Linked DNA regions of Oryctolagus cuniculus. The protein of the gene in region 2 binds, or shares a complex with, the protein of the main gene of each other region. Links are inferred from orthologs where the notes say so. Each region holds a gene or a part of one and is shown on either strand. Other genes may lie near its edges.

Region 1 (3,960 bases), on a different chromosome or scaffold from region 2:
CGCTCTGAGACCTGCGCCCCGTGGGGCTCGGCTCCCCAGCGTGTCCCGCGACCCCCATTCCGTGCCGCCGCGGCCGCTACACTGCGGGGAGGCGGGGGGCTTGGCTTGGTTCTCCATGGTGCAGTCAGGAGACCCCCATATTGCGTCGCATCATTGTCCACAAAAACAGAGGGACCCCTTACTGCGCCGCCCACGGCCACTGCGGAGACCCCAGGAGCCACGGGGGTGGGCGATGCTAAAGTGCCTCGCCACGGCGGACCGCGGCAAGTGTACCCAAGGCGTTTTACAAAACAAACTGTGCGCTCGCTCTCGACAGCCCCCCTCGCTCCTCATCCTCCTCCCTGCCCTTCCGGTGGGCTCACGACCACCTGTCGCATTCCCGCGCGCGCACGCCACTGTCCCCGGGCATCTAGAGCCTTACGCTTGGCTCGAGATCTGGGGCTAGGGGCTTCGGCGCAGGGGTGCAGGGGTATCCTGGGGTGAAGGAAGAAAAAGAAAGCCCTCTGCAGTCCCCCGCCCCCCGAGGAGAGTCGGCGCGGGCGGGGAGGGAGCGATTCTGCTCCTGTTCTCCAGCATCCCGAGGCCCACGTCTTGTGTCACGTGTCTCGCTCGCAACGCAGGAGAGCTTTGTGTGGCCAAGGGGAGAAGCGAGGAGAAAGGCTCCAAATCAGTCAGGGAGAGGCGTGGAAGGAGCCCAAACGTCCCTGCGAGGCCTGCGCTCGCCAGCCCCTTACCCAAAGCCGGGCCGGCGGTGCAGGGAACCAGCTTGGCACCGGGACCTGCGTCCTCTGGTGGCAGAGAGAGCGCGCGACTGGCGATTTTCGGACCGAATCGGCACGCTCCTCAAATCCAAGCAGTCTGTGTTGGCCTGGAGCAGAGAGAGAGAGAGAGAGAGAGAGAGAGAGAGGAGGGGACGAAGGCCGAGCAGGCCGGGTGGGGGCCTGAGGGAATCACCAGTGGCCAGGAAGGAGCCAAGACTTCACCAGCCAGAACTGCACTGCCTTGGCCATGGTCTGGGGTTCTAGGCCCTGAGTGCGCTCGGGAAGTGAGGCCGCAGAACTTCCCAGCTGGTACTTTTTTCTTTCTTCCTTTCAAATAATTTTTTTCACCCTAGTTCGGTTGGGTGCTCCGTCTCACGGAGCCCCCACATCATTGTAAGAGGCCGCCACCGTGTTATGGGCCTGCGCTACTGCCTCGACGGCAATAATATGTCAGGACAACGCCATCTCCCCCCTGAAGTCGGGGAGCAGCCTCCACAGCCAGCCTTGGAGGCCCCAGGGCCAGCTGCCCCCGGTGCTGGGCCTGGCCCAGCCGAAGAGATGGAGACCCAGCCGCCTGCCAGCGAGCCCGTCCCCGCACAGGCTGGCGCCGAGGCCTGTGAACCCCCTGAGGTCTCCGGGGGCACCCTGGAGGGCCTCGCCGTGGCAGCTGACCAGGAATTCGGAGGCGATGGAGGCTACAGCCCACCTCCCGAGGAAGCCATGCCTTTTGAGGTCCAGCAGCCCAGCGTGGGAGGCTTCTGGCCCACCCCAGGGCCCATCGCAGGCCTCGAGGCCTCTGTGGATCCCGGAGTCTCGGGCAGTGCCGGGCCTGGCCTGGGAGGCTACAGCCCCCCACCAGAAGAAGCCATGCCCTTTGAGTTCGAGGAGCCTGCTGGCCAGGGAGGCTGCAGCCAGCCAGCATCGGGGGTCCCCGACCTCGCTCCCGGTGGCACAGACCTGGGGGTCCCTGGAGCTCCTCCCGGGAAGTCCGGGGCGCTCAGGCCTGCCAGCGCTGGCCTTGGAGGAGGCTATAGCCCTCCCCCCGAGGAGGCTATGCCATTTCAGCTTGATGGAGAGGCCTTTGGGGACGACAGCCCACCCCCCGGGCTCCCCCGAGCGCTCCCACAAGTTGCCAACGGCGACGGTGGCAGCAGCGCGGCAATCGCGGTCCCGAGTGCGGTCTGCCTCGCTCCCGCCACCGACGCGCCACCCCTCTGGGTCCCAGAGGCTGTCAGAGCTGCTGCTAACTTCGCGGGCGCCAGCCCCCCGATGGAGATCGCCGGACCCCCGCTCGAGATGCGCAGCGCCCCCGTCGGGGTCGACGACGCTCCCGTCAGCATGGACAGCCCCCCAATCGCGAGTGATGGCCCGCCCATCAAGGTCTCCGGAGCCCCAGATAAGAGGGAGCGCGGCGAGAGACCCCCAGTTGAGGGTGAAGCAGCCGAGATGGAAGGAGGCTCGGTCAGCGCCTCTGCGGAGAAAGGAGAAGTCCCCTCTCCGGGGGACGGAGCCTCGGGCGCCCCAGCTGGGGCCGCTCCCGCCGCCGGAGCCGCTCCCGCCGCCCCGGCGGAGCCCGAAGCCGGGGGAGCCCCGGCCGCTCCTGGCACTGCGGCCGCCGGGGCAGCCCCGGCCGATGCCGAAGCCGACGCCGACACCCGCGCAGCCCCCGGCGCCGCAGCCGCTCCTGATGCCGGGGCAGCCCCTGCCGCCGGTGGAGCCCCTGGTGCCCCGGCCGAGCACGCCGCAGCCGCCGGGGCCCCCCAGGCAGCCCCCGCCGCGCCTGCCTCCGGGGCCAGACGCAGGCTCCATCTGCTCAGACCCCCCAGCCCCGAGATCCAGGCTGCTGACCCGCCTACTCCGCGGCCTGCTCGCGCGGCTGCCTGGCGGGGCAGAGCTGAGCGCGGCCGAAGCCGCCGCCGCTACGACGACGAGGGGTCGACCAGCGGCGACGCCGACTCCTCCAGCGGGGACGAGTCCGAAGAGCGGGCCGCCGGCTGCTTCCACTGGTTCCAGCGCCGCACACGCCGCCGCCGCAAGCCCCGGCGCAACTTGCTCCGCAACTTCCTCGTGCAGGCTTTCGGGGGCTGCTTCGGTGGTCGATCTGAGAGCCCCCAGCCCAAGCCCGCGAGCCCCAGCAAGGCCAAGAAGGTTTCTCTGGCAGAGAAGCGCCGACAGATGCGCAGGGAGGCCATGGAGAAGCGCGCCCAGAAGCGCGCCGAGAAGAAACGCAGCAGGCTCATCGACAAGCAGCTGCAGGCCGAGAAGATGGGCTACATGTGCACTCACCGCCTGCTGCTTCTAGGTAACGCGGCGGCGGACTCTGCCCAGGGGCAGCAGCCCCGCCGGGGACCGGGGAGGGGGCGCGGGGCGCGGGGCTCGGCCGCGGGAGGAGGGGGCACGGCCAGGAAGTTCCACGGAGGGACCCTAACTTTGCCCCGGGCGCGGGAGGGGAGCTGGGGCGGGTTCGGGTGGCCGAGGTGTGTGCCCTCCAGGGAGAAAAGTGGTGCCGAGCGACACTGAGGGTCGTTTCCGGCTGGACAGGCCAGCGCCAGCGACCGTAAGCTGGACAGGCGGGGGCTTCAGGTGAGCCGGGAACTGCCGGAAAGGGGCGCCCACTCTCCGCCGGCTTAGGTTTGTTGGGGCCGCGGTGGGCTAGGGCCATCGGGGAAGGCGCGCCCCCGCCTCGCCTGGCACGGCTTGTTCTCGGCCAGCTTGTCGTTGGTGTGTGTCGGTGTGCGTATTCTCTGTGTCCGCCTGTGCATGACACGCTCAAGTGTTCCCCATCCCCGGCAACCCCCCCATCCCCGGATTACCCGCCGACCGTGTACTTGTACTTGGGGACGGGCTGTCGTGATGCGCGCCATGGCGCGGGCTGAAACTTTGCGCGTCTGCACACTCGTATGACACCTGTGCGCCGGCACTCCGCGGCGGAACCCGGCTGGGCCACCGGCCCGGGGGGGCGCCTCGGTAACCTTGTTCCTCTGTGTCTTTCTCTCTTTCTCCCTGTGCGCTAAGTGTTTCCTCACTTCTCATTCGTTCGCCAAACCCTCCCGCCTTTACAGTTGAAAAACCAGACACGCAGCACAGGTATCTGGGGCATTGGGGCTGCACACTGGATTTCAGCATTGCGCACAAGCACACTCACCTGGAGGGGGATGGGAAGTGGCTGGGGTGGGGGATGGAGGACATCTAGCCTGCT
Region 2 (5,638 bases):
CCGTGTGGCTTCCAGATCAATGGCACATGGGCAGGTGTGGTCTTCATGCTGAGGAAGTCTCAGGGGCATCCTGGGTTTCCCTGGAGCTGGGAGCTTGCCCAGCCATCGGCACTGATTACACTGGGATGAGCTGGACCACAGGTGACCTCTGAGTCTGTGAGGTTCCCCCAGGGCCTTCAACGAGGAATGAGAGAACCATGGTGGTGGAATGAGAGAACTCTGCTGTGTGGCTTCTTAGGCATGGAGTTTACCAGCCTCACCTGGACCCCTCTCCCTCCACACAGCTGAGGGCTCACTGCTATCTGGCATGCATGTCCCTCACCACGGTTCATTTAGTCAGAACGATGGTCAGAGTACAAAGCAGTTGGATGCTGCAGGCCAAGTTGGGGGGGGGGGATCCCCTTAAAGACAGGAAGTGAGGGAAAGACCCCCTCACCTCTCCCTTTAACTGCTTTCAAGAAACCCTTGAATCAGCAGAAAGGTCAAGTTGAGGCCCAGGGTGGAAGAGATGAGTTGGAGGCGATGCTGAGAATCTCCAGTTCTGGAGCAGCCTTGCTGGAGCCTCTCCTTTGGCCCTAGCGGGGAGGGGGCTCTGGTGTTGAGGTGAAAATTCCGACGTGGGGCTTCAGCCACTCTCCTAAAGTCAAACAGACAGGCAGAAGCTGCCACCAGTCATCGGCTCCTCCGCGGAGGCCTTGCCCACCCAAGAGCTCCTAAGACCTGGTCTTTTCCAGATGTTCCTGGACAGCTGTCACCCCCTCCCCCATGTCTGCCCCAGAGCCAGTGTCCCCAGTGTCACTGGGCTGGCCCCTCCTCTAATCCCTGGACAGTGCTCAGGGGGAGGGAGGGGAGCAGGTTGGCTTTTGCACCCCCCTCCCCACATTCCAGACGCAGGTGCCTCTGTACCTTCTGGAACCTTCCCTCACCTTCCCGAGATCTGCTCCAACCTGTATATTTTTGAAACTCAGGGCCTGGCATTTGGTGTAGCCATTCAGATACTCACATCCCACATTGGAGTGCCCAGGGTTTCATTGTCCATCCCGGCTCCTGACACGAGATTCCTGATGATGTGCACCCTGGGAATGCCCAGTGGTGATGGCTCATGTTCTTGGATGCCTGCCACTCATGTGGGAGACCTGAATCACATTCCAGCTCCTGGCTTTCTTTGGCCCCAATTCAGGCCCAGCTGTTGTGGGCATTTGGAGAGTGCATCAGCGGATGGGCGCATGGGCTCTCTCTCTGCCTCTGAATTCCACACACGCATGCATACATACATATTTTTAAGAAAACCAAAAAGGAAGTAGGTGGGGTCTGGGCAAGGAGAGCCAGCATCCCCTCCCCAGCCAGGTGGGCAGGGGTCTAAGCATAGGCTTGTGGAATGGAGCAGAGGCTGGAAATGCAGAGAGACTCTTAGATATTTCTAAGAGTGGCCTAAGAAACTGGGGGCCAGGATCCAACTCCCCAGGACAAGACAGCACTCGCTGAGCCACACCCTCCCCCAGGAAGACTGAGGCTGGGACAGAGGATTCCCAAGTCAAGCTGGAGAGAGGCAGAGGCCAGTGGCCAACTTAGGGTTCTGAAGAGAGGCCTTCCCATCTCTCTACAGGATTGGCCACCTGCAAAGAGGGAGTTACTTCAGCTGCAGCACTCTTCAGGGGCCACCAGGAAGCCATGCCAGGGCCCCCCAAGGCAGACCCAGCCTTGGGAAAAATGGACAACAATTTGGGGTCAGATCAGGTTCAGGGGTCAGTCGGGGGCTAGGCTGGAGTTGGGAGTGGGGTTCAGTCTGCAACTTGGACCTCCGGTAGGATGAATGCAATGTCATTTCCGTGGCCAGGCCCTGCTCTGGAGTCTGCAGATGAGGAAACGGACTGTGCCCCACTCACGGCTCCTCCCTGTCTCTGTCCCCAGGGCGGCCGGGCAGCCAGGCTGCAGCAGGAGTGTGACTACCTGCAGATGATCGAGGTGCAGCACAGGCAGTGCCTGGAGGAGGCGCAGCTGGAGAACGAGACAGCAGGTGAGGGCCTCTGCAGCCCGCGGTATCCTCATGCCTGGTGCCCCGGCCTGAGTTAGGTTCGTTCCCTGTGTGTGGGATGGGGACCAGGGACAGGGATCGACCTCAGAGCTGCCGGGTGGTGAGTGTGGGGAGAAGCAAGCAGGAAGGACTAACAGGCCCGCACGTTCCCAAAGAGAACATACTCAACTGGGGCTCCAAACAGTGCCTGAAACCCCTTCTCCTTTTGGAGCTCAAGGAAAAGTGGAGGTGATGCCTACAGCCTCCTGTCCCCCAGGGTGGAAGGCCTGGGGCCCAGCAGACGGGGGGTCTCTGGATCATTAGGGCACACAGGCTCCTCAATCCTTGGCCAAAGAGGAGCCGGGGCACACTCCTGGATCAGCTCACTCCAGCAGCTGGCGCTGGGCTTGGGAGATGTAACCCCAGCACAACACACCCAGGCATAGGCCATTGTCCCGGGCCAGAGGAAGAGGAAGAGCAGGGGACATTCAAATTCAGGTTGTGACTCCCTACAAGAAGCTCAGAGCCATCTGGGCCATCCAGAGCAAGAAGGCGCAACTGACTGCGTGGGGGTAGAACATTCCCCACGGGGAAAGCCGGGGAGGCCCGGCTCCTTCTTCCACACCCTAGGCGCTGTCACTCAGACACAGAGAGCACACACAGGCACACAGGCACCCCCAGGCACACGCCTGGCCTCCCTCTCCCAACCCACCCCCAGCAGGTCCGGTGAACTCCGGCTCTTTATCCTGGTGATTAGGCAAGTCAAGTTCATTCCCAGAGGCTGAGCCCACAGGGTCCTGTGCCCCTCATGCCCAGGGGCTCTGGGAGAGCTCCAGGCTGGCAGTGTGAAGACTTGTCAAGCTACCCAAACCCAGTGGCAGAGTCCCAGGACAGGTGTCGACCACCTGCACTTGGCTCAGCGGCCTGGGGCTGAGCTAGACTCAACAGGGTAAGGAGTGTGGGAGAAGCCAAGAGGCTGAGGAGGTGAGAGGCACTGGGCCAGGCCGCCCATGGGGTCCAGGGGTGTCCAGGTCAAGCTCACTGAGGACTGGCACGTGAGGATGGCTGCAGGCGGGAGCAGACTCAGGGCCGTCTCCCTGGGGGCAGGGCTTGCATTCGCACAGCAGCCTGGCTGGCAGCAGGGAGCACCTTGAGGTCTTCCTGGCTCCCTTGTCCCTGCCACCCCTCTGAGACTGACAGTCTCTTCCTGGCCCTGGTGCCCCAGCTCTGCCTCCTGCACCATAAGTGGATGCATGTAGCTTTCTTCCCCCAGGTCTCCCCCACCCCCACCGTGTGCCTCACCCCTTCCTACCCCGGCAGGGAGGCAGGACCAGGCTGCAGACAGGCCCAGAGGGTGGGATCATGGTCATCCCTGGGGGCCCAGAACCCAGACTCTCAGTCCCACCGCAGTGCCTCCCAAGCCCCAGGGGCCAACCACCCTCGTGATCCTCATGAGGTCACTGCTGGCACAGGGTGCCCATCGCGTGCCAACATCCTGCCCCCTGGCAGCCAGCCTGGGATCCTGGGGAGGGCAGGCATGGGTCCGTGGGCTGTGGGTCTCCCTGCGACCGGCGTGGGGCCCTATGTGTGTCTGTGCACATCCAGGTGTGCACTCTTGGCCTGCGTCTGTTTGGGGTTGTCTGTGGCTCTGGGTTTGACGAGAGTGTCTGTGTGGCTCGGGGGCATATGTCGTGTCTGTTTAAGCCTGGATGTGCCTAGACGTGCCTTCCTGGTGTTCTGTGTCTCTGTGTGTCCATGTGGGACTGTGTCATTGGTGTGAATGTCGGCGGTGTGTGTGGGGGTGGGGGGTTGGGCATGTCTGGGAGCTACATGTCCCTCTGTGCCTGTTTGCTGGCATCAGTGGTCCCTGCATTCATGCATGTATGTTTGCATGTGTGTCCGGGATCTCATGTGCCTGCCAGGAAACACGTGTCAGTGCATGTGGCTCTGAGCACACACGTCTATAACACAGCACCCACCCTCCCTCACCATCCATCACCCCAGGCTGTCCTGTTGGGGTCACAGCCCCCAGTGGACCCACAGCCAGCCTGGAATGTGTCTCTATGGGCCTGGTGACACACAATGATGGACTGTGGTGGCCTCTCTGGGATGGGCTCACAGGGTGCAGTCCCAGGGGGCACTCCCAGGGGGCAGCCCACAACAAGTACTTCTAGGTACTAGGTGTTTTCATGGCCAGCACCCTTGTCTGTCTCCCCAGCCATGCTGCCCCGGAAAACCAGCCCTGTCCTGCCTCCCACGAGGGGCTCCCCTCCACGTCCTCCATTCCAGCCTCTCTTTCCTGCCTCCCTTAATCTGATTGCTGACCTGTGCCCTGGTCCCGGGTCACCGCCCGGCCTTGGCTGTGCTGTGATTCCTTGAGGTTGAGTGTGCCCTCCCGAAAAGCAGGGCCCAGTCTCCTTCTCTTCTGTCTGCGCTCCGGTGAAGCAGAGCTCAGGGCCAGAGACGCAGCCCTGAATCCACTCCCCAACCTGAGCCGGCAGCTGGAGATTGCAGAGCCTGGCAGGGACTCAGACACAGCAGTTGGCCTACAAAACAGGGTGTGCCCAGCACTGTCAGGAAGGGATAAACAAAGTCCAGCAGCAACAAAATCGCCTTCAGGCCAGGAGGACAGGGTGCACCGCTCCCCAGCGCTGCGGGCGGGTGCTACCAGTCACCAGCCTCAGTTTCCCCATCTGTGAAATAGAAGGGTTAAACCAACGATTCATCAAGGGAGGTTAGAACAGGGCCTGGCGCATACCAAGATGACGTAGTGTTTGCTGATGTTATTAACAGCATCTTGAACCATGAATAGGATTCGACTGGCCTGAAGGGCCCCTACACGGCCTCCAGGGAGGCTGGCTCTGGAGGGCAGCCACAGAGTCCTCAGGACAGGTTAGAGTGACAGTGTAGTTGGGGCTGGACTCTGCCCCAGCCTTGGAGATGCAGGTGTCTTCCGCAGCTGTCAGCGGCAGCTGTCACCTGACTGCCGCAGCCCCAGAAGGAAGCTGCACCTGCCGCCAGCGCACCCCGGCACACAGAGTTCCGACGCTCTGCCCCCAGCAGGGCTGTGCCTCCACCTTCTCTTCCCAGGCCCCCTTCTTGGGAACTGGTGAACCTTCGGACCTGGGCTGGGCAGGGCTTGGCCCAGCTGGCGTTGACTTTGGCTCAGGGGTTGGGTTGCCTGAGCAAATCTATGAGACTGGCAGGATTGCAAAGAGACAATTAAGCCTCCTGCAGGGGCGGGGGTCCCGGGTAGTCCTACTCCCCAGGCAGGGGTGGTGGGGGCGGGGGGGGGGTGAGGATGTTAGCCAGTTTCTAAAGAAGCAGAACCTTGGCGTTTGCCTTTGCCTAGTAAAGCAGAACCGCTAGAGACCCCTGTGTCACTATCAGCAGCCAGGCCCTGCCAGCTCCAAGATGAAGACCACAGCCCGAGGGGCGGGGTTTGCCAACCCTGCCAGATACCCACTCCCATCACCATTCACCTCCTGCTGAGCTGGGGCCATCTGTGTTGCCTTGTGAGTTTTGTACAGTCTCTCCAGAACCAGCTGCACCCCCTCATCCTCACCACCTCCTTTTTTTTTTAATCACATTTTCTACTGCCTCCTTTCCTATCAGCAAATGACC
Region 3 (4,395 bases), about 48 Mb from region 2:
GCCCTAGAGCGTGCGCCAAGGCCAGAGAGAAGAGTCCCACCTTTTGAATTCAGATTCTAGTATCTGGGCGGAGGAAAGGGCAGGAGGTGGCTAGAAAGACCCGGGGTTCGGGGTACCACGGCCAGGGCTGAGGCGCGTCGCTGTGGAAGGCTGGGTGTGGGGCGTGCGGAAACCTGAGCGCGCCTTGCAGTGGCCTCTCCAGGGATGGAGGAAAAGCCAGAGGAGTTACGAGTTCAGCCTCGCCTAGAAAGTGCTCCTTGTCCCGACCGCATTCCGAGACTCCCCAGCGTTCCAGAGCGATGGTTTTTTTGTTCTGACCCACCGCTTCCCGTCCCGTATCCCGGATGGAGGCGCTGGCCGAGGTCGCCACGTCCCTGCTGGCTATCAGGTCCCCTGATGACTTCCTGCACTCTGGGGTTGGGATCGGGTCCCACCGTCTCGCCACCGCGAACAGAGTAGTGCGAACTATTTAGAGGATTCACTAGCCTTTATTTCACTCCCAACTATTTTCGAAGTTCTGTGTGCTTGGCAATTTCCCCGGGCAAGAAGCACCTGAGGGCGCGGACACACCACAAAACCAACCGCCGCCAAACTGGCTAAGTTTAGGGGCATCTATTATTCATGTTCCTGCCAGATCCTCTCCGGCCCAAAATAGACGCTAGAGGTTCTCCGTGACCTACATCTGCGCGGGGAAGCGCTCCCCTGGGCCAGGCGGCTTGGATGGGGGTGGCTGGCGGAGTTGATCGCCGCGCACCCGACCCTCCCACCCTCTCCTTTCTGCTCCAGGCCTTCCACTTCGGGTCTTCGCGTTGATCAGCGCGAGGTCTCCCAGGGCTTCTCACGGCCCCGCGGGTGGCTACTTGAAGTAGGCTCGGGCACCACGCGGGGCGAGGGGCGGTCCTTTTCGGTGGTCAGGTGTGCGCTGTTAGTGCAGACAACCGGGTTTCCCAGGGCTCCTTGAGGCCAGGGCCCCGCAGGACGACCCTTTCCCGATGAGAGGAGGGGTGGGCGAACCGCCTCACGGGGTGGGAACTGCTTTTGGGTGGGGGTGCCCTTCTCCTTACCCCTGCCCCCACTCTTGTTCTGGAAGAGAGGACAATTCTCGATGCGGGACCTCAACGAAGAAGAGCCCCTTTTCCTGGGTCATCGCAGACTGGGAGGGACTTGTACTGACCACTCCTTCTGTCTGTGGCTACCCCGCAGGCCAGAGGACGAGGCTTACGACGAAGACGGAAGCCCCCTGCAAGATTTCTACGACTCGGACCCTCCCGGCGCAGGGAGCCCCGCCTCCGCGCTGCATGATGCCTATGCACTGTACTACCCTGGGGAGCGGAGGTACCACGCGGGGTCTTCGCCGAAGGGGGCGGAGGGGGCGGGGTGGGGGTGCAGGACAGTGACCCAACGAGTAGGTTCTTTTTCATAAAGATCCTCAAGCCTCTCTTCTCCCAGGCTGGAGAATTAGTAGCAGGCGGGTGTAATACGAATCTGAGGGCCGCGGCGGGAGTGCTCCGCAGCCCAAGTGTCAGTGAGTGCGCTCCTGGGCATGTGGGGAGCCCACACTCACGCTCGTCATTCCCAAGAGGTCAGGACCAACTTCGTATCCTAGCATCTACGCTTGCGTACACCCCAAGAGTCCTGTTCGCAAATGCTGTGCCACTGGGGTCCCAGTCTGCCTCCTTAAAAGCCCTGGGGCGCACACGTCCGGCAGGGTAGCCTCGGGCGGCCTGTCGGAGGCACAGTCATTGACCCTGGGCACTTTGCCTCCCTGTTAGAGATGTAGCCCTCGGGATCCTTAACAAGGCCTACCGCAAGGTGCTGGACCAGCTGTCCGCCAGGAAGTACCTGCAGACTCTCATGGCCAAGGGCATGGGGTAAGAGTTTGCGAAAGAGTTAACTGACGCGTGATGCCGCGCGCGCCGGGTGGGTGTCCGCGCAGGGCGCACGCGGGGCAGGAGGCGCGGCTTCTGCGTTGGGGCGTGCAGGTACAGCGGAGGCTGAGTCTGCGCCCTGGGGGCGCGGTGGGGGCGGGTACCAGCCACCTGCCGTGGGCGGAGTTTCTGAAATGATTCCTTAAGTATGGTCCAGAGATCGCGAGGTCCGGGGAGAAGGAAAGAGGGCAGGCGAACCGGAGTTTGATCCATTTTTAATGAAAAGAAAGAAATCAAACACTCCCTCCCTCCCTTCCAGTCATTCAAAACCTCCAAGGTTCGCGGGAGGATTTGCTGTAATTTCCTCTAAGCGTGGCTTTTTTTTTTTTTGAGAGGGGGAATTGCATTTACTGTAAATTCAAATCGAAATAAACAAATCACCAAATTTGGACGCTTAGGGAAACAAACAGTTTTCGCTCACGCCAGACAAACCCAGAGCATAGGGCTTGCGGGCAGCGTATCTCAGCAGAAGGCAACATTTTAATAAAACCCCTGGGAAAACAGATTATATTTTCGCAATGAATAATTCATGCGGTGAAAAATATTGCCCACAGCCTGTCGACTTGTATTATTATCACGTTTTTCAACTTAGCGTGTGGAAGGAGAGGCGTGCTTGTCTTTGCCTAGGAATTGCAGGATCGATACAAACTGCCCGGCAGCGGCCATCGTGGCTCGCAGGGCTCTATGGTGATTTCTTTGTATGTCGGGGGTGAGAGGAGCACTGAGGACAATTTAGCGCCAAGGCAAATCTCCAAGGGCAGCGCTGGGAGAAAGATTAGGCTGCACTCCTGCTCTGCTTGCCCCGATCGCATCCCGGGCGCCTTCTGCAGTACTTAGAGCCAGGAAATCTTGGGCGGGAGGGAGGAACACAGACAGGGGTTTCCATCTGCGCCCTGTCGGGGGCAGAGGGAGGAGGCGCGTAGGGGGTGTGAGCCCTGCGCCACACCCTCCCTGAAGGCCCCCCCCCCAGCAGGGTGGGGACCGCCTGCTCCCCTGCGCGTATTGAACGTGTGTCTCCCGCCCCGCCACCTTCTTCCCGAACCCCCACCCCCTATTTTTTTTGTTTGCTCTGTTTTGTTTTGCAGTGAAAACCTGGGCGGCGGCCCGGAGGACGACTTGGAGCCGCTCTCCAAGCGCCACTCGGACGGGATTTTCACAGACAGCTACAGTCGCTACCGGAAACAAATGGCTGTTAAGAAATACTTGGCGGCCGTCCTAGGGAAAAGGTATAAACAAAGGGTTAAAAACAAAGGACGCAGAATAGCGTATTTGTAGCGAAGAGTTACCACCTACCCTGTGTATAAACCCTGCCACAATGAAAAGTCGTTTTCCAAACTGACAGAACAGTCATTGCTCATATGTTCTATCCAAACATGTATTTATGTATGAAGTAAAGCCATTAAATGAATATTTTGATAATAATATTGTTTTTCTTTTTACAAAGCACTAGAGAATGCACAGATATACTTTGTGGACCAATTATTGATATATATTATAAATATATTAAAAGAATATCTATATAATAGAGAGCGATTCATACAAAGTGTGCACAAGGATTGAAAATTCGCCTGAGCTGTTTATGTTTTTATATAAAATACATAGAAAAATAGACAATCATTGTTTTGAATATTACTCCTATTTTTATAAACTCGAATTAAAAGGATAGTATTTTTATCCACGACAGGCCTGAAGATATTAATACTGACCATTTGCTACTGTACATAAACAATGATGCCCTGCTCCAGGGAGACTTTGAGGTAATGACTTGGAGAACTGCCCAAGGGCGTTCTTCCTGGTGAGTCTCTGGGGCAGGCTGCTTCAACCCCAGCCGAAATGACTCAACTGGGCAGGGTCCCCCCTGGCTGGGTGGCAACTTTCTTTGATTCTACTTTATTGTGTATTTGTCTCTCTTTTAGACTCTCAGCCCAGAAGGAAATTCTCCTAATAAAACAACAGCTCGATCCAAATTGTGCTTCACCCCTACCCCCAGAATTCACACCGCTCCCTGGGTGAACAGTTGAGGAACTGTACAGAGAAGGAGGCTCAGGATGGGGAGCCCTCTTTTTTGTACCTCCTGATTCACCAGGGAAAATTACTATTCCCAGGTTAGGGCAATTGGAACAAAGTGAGGGAGATAGAGGTATATCGGAAGAGGCAGAGCATAAGGCAGTAGGAGGAGGATCCTGAAGAGGGACTGGTTTGAGCTATCCCAGGTCTGAAAAGCTGGGGGCAAATCCAGTCCCACTACAGGTCTACTGCCTGACTTTGGGCGCTGGGTATTGGAAATGGGTGCAAAGTACAATGTGTTTTTCTCCAGTGCTGTCCATGCTTCTCATCTTGTGAAATGGTCAGGATTCTCCCCTTTGAACCCTGCTCTGTAGGAGCCAGCCTTTTCCTTTGTGTTTTTTCTGGAAGCCTCTCCTTCCTACCCTCTTGCACTGTTTAAGTACCACTTAACCATTTTTCA
Region 4 (6,190 bases), on a different chromosome or scaffold from region 2:
GCTGAACTCTGCTGTTGTAACACAAAAGCAATCCTAGACCACACATATATGATGAGCATCTTCATGTTCCAAAAAACTATTTTATGGACACTGACATTTAAATTTCACATAATTTTCATATGTAACAAAACCACTCATTAATTTTTTAACCATTTAAAATATGAATACCATTCTTAGCTTGAGGGACATAAAAAACAGAGGGATGGGCCTTTCGGGCTTTTAGCCAATAGTTGAAGCCCTCAGATCAAGGCTTAATAATTCAGAGTTTTCACGGCACGTCTCATGGCACATTCTGGTCTCGTGGCTGGGTATGAGTTAGGGTGAGTTAGTTAGACAGGCAAACTGCCACACAGAGGCATGGCTTGGGAAAATAATCCCTGAGAGGATGAAGAGCCTCCATTAGCTTTTGCACTGGCAATCAGAGTGATTCTGAATTTCTGCCAATCTCCTGACCTTGAAAACCCCTTCCAACTGATCTCCCTGTATCTAATTTGTTTCATTTTGACATATCTTTCCATAATTTACCCAACTCTGGCAAAATTCATTTCCTACTTTTTGGAAAGATAAAGCAGATTTAGCTGCATTTGCTGAGTGCTATTATAAAATATTCTAGATAAATTTAATTTCAGTATTTTTTCTTATGATTATTTTTCTGGAAGCATCTATAATTCGACTGGTTAAAGATTCATTTACACCTCATTTCCTTGAAAGAAGAGAAAAAGTACTCAGATGATTTTATTAAAATCTATGAATTAAGACTTTGAACCTGCAGATGGTGCTGTGATCCTATTTTGAAATAGCTTTGATTTCTAGTTTAAATTCATTAGAAAAAAAATGCAGGTCTTTACTTTAGTGTTTTTTTTTCTACCAAAAAGTAATAAAATTCAATTCATCTCTTTATTTTTATGTTTTATTATTATAATGGGAGAAAACATCTACTTCGACCAAAGTAATAATGAATTTTGTTTTTTCTTCTATATAATTTCAGCTTGTCATTCAGCATCAATTGTCTGTAACTCCCAATCAACTTACATTGCTGTTGCTGTTCTTAAATAAAATTGATTCACTGAGGATTGGGTGACGAAAAGCTAAAGATAAAAAATTCCATATGAGAACCATTTCAACCTCTAGTTTGTAATAATCAGGTAAAAAAAGATTTCCTGGAATTAAGCCACAGGAACTCTGGTTTAAGTCAGAGCTGTCAACTGGGAAACAAATTTCCAGACATTTTGAAATTTAATTCATTTAATTTTTCTTGTAACTGGATTATAAAATATGATTAAGCATAGCAAGATATTCTGGATCAGTCTGACTTTGAATGAAGCAAATAGATACTAAAATGTTAAAGAAGAAAGAAGGTTTTACAGCCATTCTCCCTTGTGGAACATACAAATAAAAAATTTAAAAGAATACACTCATTAGGAATTTTTAAATAAAAGGAAAGATAGTATTTTCTTTTGTTGTACACAAAATTGTTCCTGTAGTTCCACTTTTATCTCAAATTCTGATTGAATGTACACTAAGCCACTGTAATCAAGGAACTCACAAGAAGAAATTAAGTATTTATCAAAATGCTCTACAAATGCAAATAAATCTTTGAACATAATTTAAAGTGATTGAATCAGAAATTTCCAAAAACTATTGCACACATATGTGTGTGTTGGGGGAGTGGGAGTAGAAAGTGAAATAATTCTACATAGTGCAAGCATTTATAAAGTGATATAGATAATTATTAAAAGGAAGAGAAATTCAGTGCTTTGAGGGATAGAGTCTGAGAAGAATTTTAGGAGTGATCATTTGATATCATATTGAGATGTGAATTGGGAATTACGTTATTTTATGCATATGTGAAACAGCAACTGCACTACTGTTTCATACAACATATTTTTCTATCTTGGAGATTTTCTGAAAACTTTTATCTTAAGATTATTTTCAACAAAAAGAAAACATATTAATAGAAGGGAAAATTATTTCCAGATGCTTTTAAAATTAGGATAAATTTCAAGAAGGACTAAATAAGGATCTGCTTGAATAATAGAAAAGAAAGAAAGAAAGACTAGGGGAATTGATGCTTTGTAATAAAAGATAATTATACATTCATAAGCATAATGAACGTAAGTATTTGTAGCTTTCTCAATTTGTTCCTGCACATGAAGTCATTATCTGAAGGAACCCCAGTAGCCCTGGCTCTAACACCATAATCATTCTCTTATTCCATTAAGACAAAGTAAATATCAAAACATTTCACATTAAGCTTGGTACATTTTTTTAAAAAAGCAAATTTCCTCTTTTTATCTAAGATCCTCAAGTTACTCACTACAAATTTATATAAATCAGACATAATGACAATTTAATATGAACTTCAAGCCCTATTCATCTCGTGGGAGTATTACTGTGACGTCTTTCAGGGAGCTTTGTGATTGCTCAGCCCAAGTATAAGCCTATAAAATGATGGCTTTGAAACACTGGTCAGGGAAGAGTGAAGGGCAGTAGCCAGCAATAACAGCCAACCCTTAGCCAGTGCTACGGACAGAGAACTGGTGGAGCCTTTCTTGGCTTCGCAGAACTTCAGCACCTTGGACAGCTCCAGAACACCAGGTCCCTGAGGAACGCTACCCAGCAAGGTAAGTGAAAACTTTGCTTTTCCTTTTTATGTTTCCTGCCTGTGGAACTCTTCTTGGGGTATATTAAATTCAGGTCACCTGGTAAGAATAGAATGAATTTTCAGAATTATGTTCATTGGAAGATGTTTTACCCTCCTGCTATTTTGCTTAATACTGATTTTAAAAAATACACCCAAGAAGGGGTTTTTGACTATATATATATATATATATATATATATTTATATATATATATATATTGACTGAAGGGTTCAGTAGGTACATTTGTTTTTGAAGTCTTCAACTTCTTTTGAAAGAACTGTTATTTCTATTTCACATGTTGGTTAAGTGAACTTGGAACACATTTTTTCTCCTCTGTAAGTTTAAATGCTGTGATTTTTATATACAGCAAAAAGAAAACACAGACCTTGTCCTTCTAAGTTTATATCTAGAAACTATTTATAAATGAAGTGAGTGGACCAAGTGCAAGAAAAATAAGCTTTGTTTTTACATATATTTTGTGGCATAATGAACCACATAATAACAATATGTGATTCAATGAGTTTATCAATATTAATTTTCTCTCAGTTAATTTATTTAAACCTAGGCCAAAATTGTGTTAATACACAAAGAAGTAAGTTTATGCTAGTATCTACAACTAGGAGAGGAAAATATGTATTTATAAAATGTTGTGTTCTAGTATATATATGTACATTATATTCATAGATACACACTGTATACACATGTTTATATATAATTTACCAGAGTAGAAGAATATTTAAATACATTATATTCCAGTTTTATATTAACCAGATGTTAAAGGCTTAAAGTAGGAAAAAATAATTTCTTGAATTGATTTCCTTAGAAAATATACTTAACTTTGATGCTACAACTCTATTATAAAGTATGATATTCAATATATTCTTAGGCTAAGTGCCTGGGGAAAGATAAGCAACCAATGAAAAGCATCCTAATTTTTTTCAAATGCTTGTCACCAAGAGAAATTTTCTTCATTTAAGAGTAATCATACCCAGTTTAACTATCTCTTCAACATGAAAACTATTTTTAAACTCCTCAACAAACTTCAGAAATTATTTCTAGACACACAGCACTGCCTTGCTCATGACATGTGGATTTGAAAGACTTATCTGGCTCTCTCTTTAGAGGCACAGAAATGGAAAGCAGACACAAGCCCCAGCTCCTGGTGTCCCTGATACTTTGCAGTGTGCTCTTCTCGCAAACATTGGCATGGCCACTTTACGGAGCCCCAGGAACTCTAAGGTAGGTCCTTTTCAGACAAGTTTCTCTTGTAATTCATCAGTTGAACATTCATTCTTTGTCTAAATGGCAATGCCCTACATGCTATTTTCGACAACTCAACATTTAAAATCGTGAAGTATGCACATAAATCTTTTGGTTTGTGTATTGAGCAAGATGTTTTCAGCATCAAGTTGACAGGTTGGTCATGAATCCTGTGTGCAGGCATGACAAACAGTGTCACTGATTAATTCTACAGGTCAAGTGGTCACATTTCTAAACATGAATGGCAATTTGACTTTCCATTCATTCAGAACCAGTTTTAGATGAGTAATAAACTTTCCTCAGTTCAATTCAGTTCAGTTTCTGATAGAAAAATAGCTGTTTAGCTGCCAAACTCCTTTTAAATTTTTCTAAAGGTCTATCAGTACATATTAGTTTATTAGTGAAACATGCATAAAATCATATTGGAAAGATCTGTATATAGGAAAGATTTATTCTCTAATATTAAAATAGTGGAATAACTTTTTAATTGAGACCCATTTCCTTAATACTTCCTTTATTAGTACATTTTAATGTATTAGGTTAGAATTATAAATACTTAGTTTTAGTGTTTTATATGTTACTATATGCCATACTTCAAATTAGTAAAGTACGCAACTCACAATTAAAGCCTTTCTAACGTAAAATAAATGTATTCAAAGTAAGTGAACAATAAATGAAGGATATGTTAAACTCATTTTTCCTTCAAAGTCATAGACACCACCATATTTTAAGGGAAAACAACAATTTGCTTATTTGTCCATTTCTGATCATTTACTTAAGGTATTCTTAAGTTCCATATAGTGAATTATCTATTAGCCTGTAAGTGTTATCTATGAAATTTGTTTAAAGCTATCTCCTCTAGTTCATGGACAACTTAGTAGAATGGGTCCATTGGAATGCTTTCATGACAAACAAGGAATAATCTGAAGTATGCTAAAGTTTTTGTTACTCACATGACTTGAGATTCACAGAGGACTGCTCATTACTATCAATTTTTATATCATGAAAGATACATACATAAATGCAATGGTGTGCTGGTGGTAAGAATGTGCATATACCTACAAATATAGTCCTATTTCATAGGTAGGCATAACTGTTCTTAGGTTCCCATGTGTCACTGTATTTCTTCACTTATCAGAAGGTCTCACAAATTCTTGAATTCGAGTAACTAGTAATAGACAGAGAGATTACTTGGACTTGTTAAATACAGAGAAATATATCATGCTAAGGTAAATCTTTGAAGTAAAACTTAGATACCTAGAGAGAAAAGTGAGTGATATTCAGCTCTGAAGAGATTAGGGCAAATATACTAAAAAACCAAATACAAAAATTGCTAACAGTTTTAATATTATTACATTTTTCCAAGTTTCTATTTTGTAAATGTTTCTCTGCCTGTAATATTGACTTTAAAAAGTGAATATATTCTTGGGGAAACACATTTACCAAGGAAGTGTACTTTGCTAATGTTCCAAGAGGATTGAATAAAGTAGCTCTTACAAGTTGTACACACATCTTATAAAAGTTTTATAACATTTATTTTATGGGCTAATAAAAGTTTTCACTTCATATTATCATTAATCATAGAGTACATTGAATTAAAGTATGCTATTCTTATATTGGAAATGGGTGATACTTCTCCAAATTTTCAGTATCTTACTTCAAATGATTGCTTTACCATAGGAGGAAAGGAATATATTTTACTCCTAATTCCTAATGTATTTTTCCCTAAAACATTGGCTGACAGAATACAACCGGAAGGAGCAAATGAACCTGATCAGGTTTCATTAAAATCAGATACTGACATCCTGCAAAATGTGTTAGCTGAAAATGACACACCCTATTATGATGTATCTAGGTGAGTTTATTTTTATTGAGTCTTATGTTCAAATACATACTTTAGAAATATGTTTGTCTAATTTTATCTCACCATGAAGCTACTCCTCTAGCATAACAGTACGGGTTTCCTTTCTCTGACTTCATTCAGCCTGATTTGTTGCAGCTTTCGAAGCTATACATGATTTTCATATAGAAAGGTTGTTAACAAACAAACAAAAAAGAAACAGAAAGAACACAGTATTCGCTTATATTCTGTTGGACATAGTTCCGAGATCACAGATTGTATCATCCCTAGTAAAGCTACAGCAAGTTGCACTCCACAATGGAGAGAGTGTTAAGGACACATGTATCTCTTTGTAAAAAGGAGGTGTCTAAGAGTTAGAGCTGTTCGTTTGTAGAACTGTTTGTCTAGAACAGCTTTCAGCAGAGACTTAGTAGCTCTATCCTGAAGT

What was found.
Region 1: the proteins of VIPR1 (region 2) and GNAS are in contact, whole or in part, in a cryo-EM structure (PDB 8E3Z), measured with the Homo sapiens proteins. The link is inferred for Oryctolagus cuniculus from reciprocal best matches to the Homo sapiens genes VIPR1 and GNAS. Residues at the interface, in NP_004615.2 of Homo sapiens: Arg174, His178, Tyr239, Leu240, Leu243, Leu244, Ala245, Val246, Ser247, Phe248, Arg252, Leu319, Lys322, Leu323, Pro326, Asp327, Ile328, Arg329, Lys330, Ser342, Leu345, Leu346, Leu391, Asn392, Gly393; in NP_000507.1 of Homo sapiens: Gln35, His41, Val217, Phe219, Asp323, Arg342, Asp343, Leu346, Tyr358, Pro361, Phe376, Cys379, Arg380, Asp381, Ile383, Gln384, Arg385, His387, Leu388, Gln390, Tyr391, Glu392, Leu393, Leu394.
Region 3: the proteins of VIPR1 (region 2) and ADCYAP1 are in contact, whole or in part, in a cryo-EM structure (PDB 8E3Y), measured with the Homo sapiens proteins. The link is inferred for Oryctolagus cuniculus from reciprocal best matches to the Homo sapiens genes VIPR1 and ADCYAP1. Residues at the interface, in NP_004615.2 of Homo sapiens: Glu36, Val40, Ile43, Asn69, Leu70, Ile89, Phe90, Phe93, Ile120, Gly123, Leu124, Lys127, Asp132, Gln135, Thr136, Tyr139, Val142, Lys143, Tyr146, Tyr150, Arg188, Val192, Lys195, Phe200, Glu204, Ser205, Cys208, Phe222, Gln223, Val226; in NP_001093203.1 of Homo sapiens: His132, Ser133, Asp134, Gly135, Ile136, Phe137, Thr138, Asp139, Ser140, Tyr141, Ser142, Arg143, Tyr144, Arg145, Lys146, Gln147, Met148, Ala149, Val150, Lys151, Tyr153, Leu154, Ala155, Val157, Leu158.
Region 4: the proteins of VIPR1 (region 2) and VIP are in contact, whole or in part, in a cryo-EM structure (PDB 8E3Z), measured with the Homo sapiens proteins. The link is inferred for Oryctolagus cuniculus from reciprocal best matches to the Homo sapiens genes VIPR1 and VIP. Residues at the interface, in NP_004615.2 of Homo sapiens: Glu36, Cys37, Val40, Ile43, Asn69, Phe90, Leu92, Phe93, Tyr118, Ile120, Asp125, Asp126, Asp132, Gln135, Thr136, Tyr139, Val142, Lys143, Tyr146, Tyr150, Arg188, Lys195, Phe200, Ser202, Glu204, Ser205, Gln207, Cys208, Met219, Phe222; in NP_003372.1 of Homo sapiens: His125, Ser126, Asp127, Ala128, Val129, Phe130, Thr131, Asp132, Asn133, Tyr134, Thr135, Arg136, Leu137, Arg138, Lys139, Gln140, Met141, Ala142, Val143, Lys144, Lys145, Tyr146, Leu147, Asn148, Ile150, Leu151, Asn152.

The regions. Positions count from the first base shown.
Region 1 is NC_091442.1:3,426,355-3,430,314, reverse strand, and holds the start of GNAS (guanine nucleotide-binding protein G(s) subunit alpha isoforms XLas), read left to right. Parts: upstream 1-1,160; 5' UTR 1,161-1,175; coding exon 1,176-3,063; intron 3,064-3,960. UniProt on the Homo sapiens protein: Guanine nucleotide-binding proteins (G proteins) function as transducers in numerous signaling pathways controlled by G protein-coupled receptors (GPCRs).
Region 2 is NC_091441.1:105,425,469-105,431,106, reverse strand, and holds part of VIPR1 (vasoactive intestinal polypeptide receptor 1), read left to right. Parts: intron 1-1,911; coding exon 1,912-2,017; intron 2,018-5,638. UniProt on the Homo sapiens protein: G protein-coupled receptor activated by the neuropeptides vasoactive intestinal peptide (VIP) and pituitary adenylate cyclase-activating polypeptide (ADCYAP1/PACAP).
Region 3 is NC_091441.1:57,533,742-57,538,136, forward strand, and holds part of ADCYAP1 (pituitary adenylate cyclase-activating polypeptide), read left to right. Parts: intron 1-1,203; coding exon 1,204-1,335; intron 1,336-1,772; coding exon 1,773-1,871; intron 1,872-3,013; coding exon 3,014-3,203; 3' UTR 3,204-4,395. UniProt on the Homo sapiens protein: PACAP is a neuropeptide involved in diverse array of physiological processes through activating the PACAP subfamily of class B1 G protein-coupled receptors: VIP receptor 1 (VIPR1), VIP receptor 2 (VIPR2), and PACAP type I receptor (ADCYAP1R1).
Region 4 is NC_091436.1:15,088,947-15,095,136, reverse strand, and holds the start of VIP (VIP peptides), read left to right. Parts: upstream 1-2,459; 5' UTR 2,460-2,624; intron 2,625-3,764; 5' UTR 3,765-3,774; coding exon 3,775-3,881; intron 3,882-5,646; coding exon 5,647-5,757; intron 5,758-6,190. UniProt on the Homo sapiens protein: PHM-27 and PHV-42 are two bioactive forms from proteolysis of the same precursor protein, that cause vasodilation. PHM-27 is a potent agonist of the calcitonin receptor CALCR, with similar efficacy as calcitonin.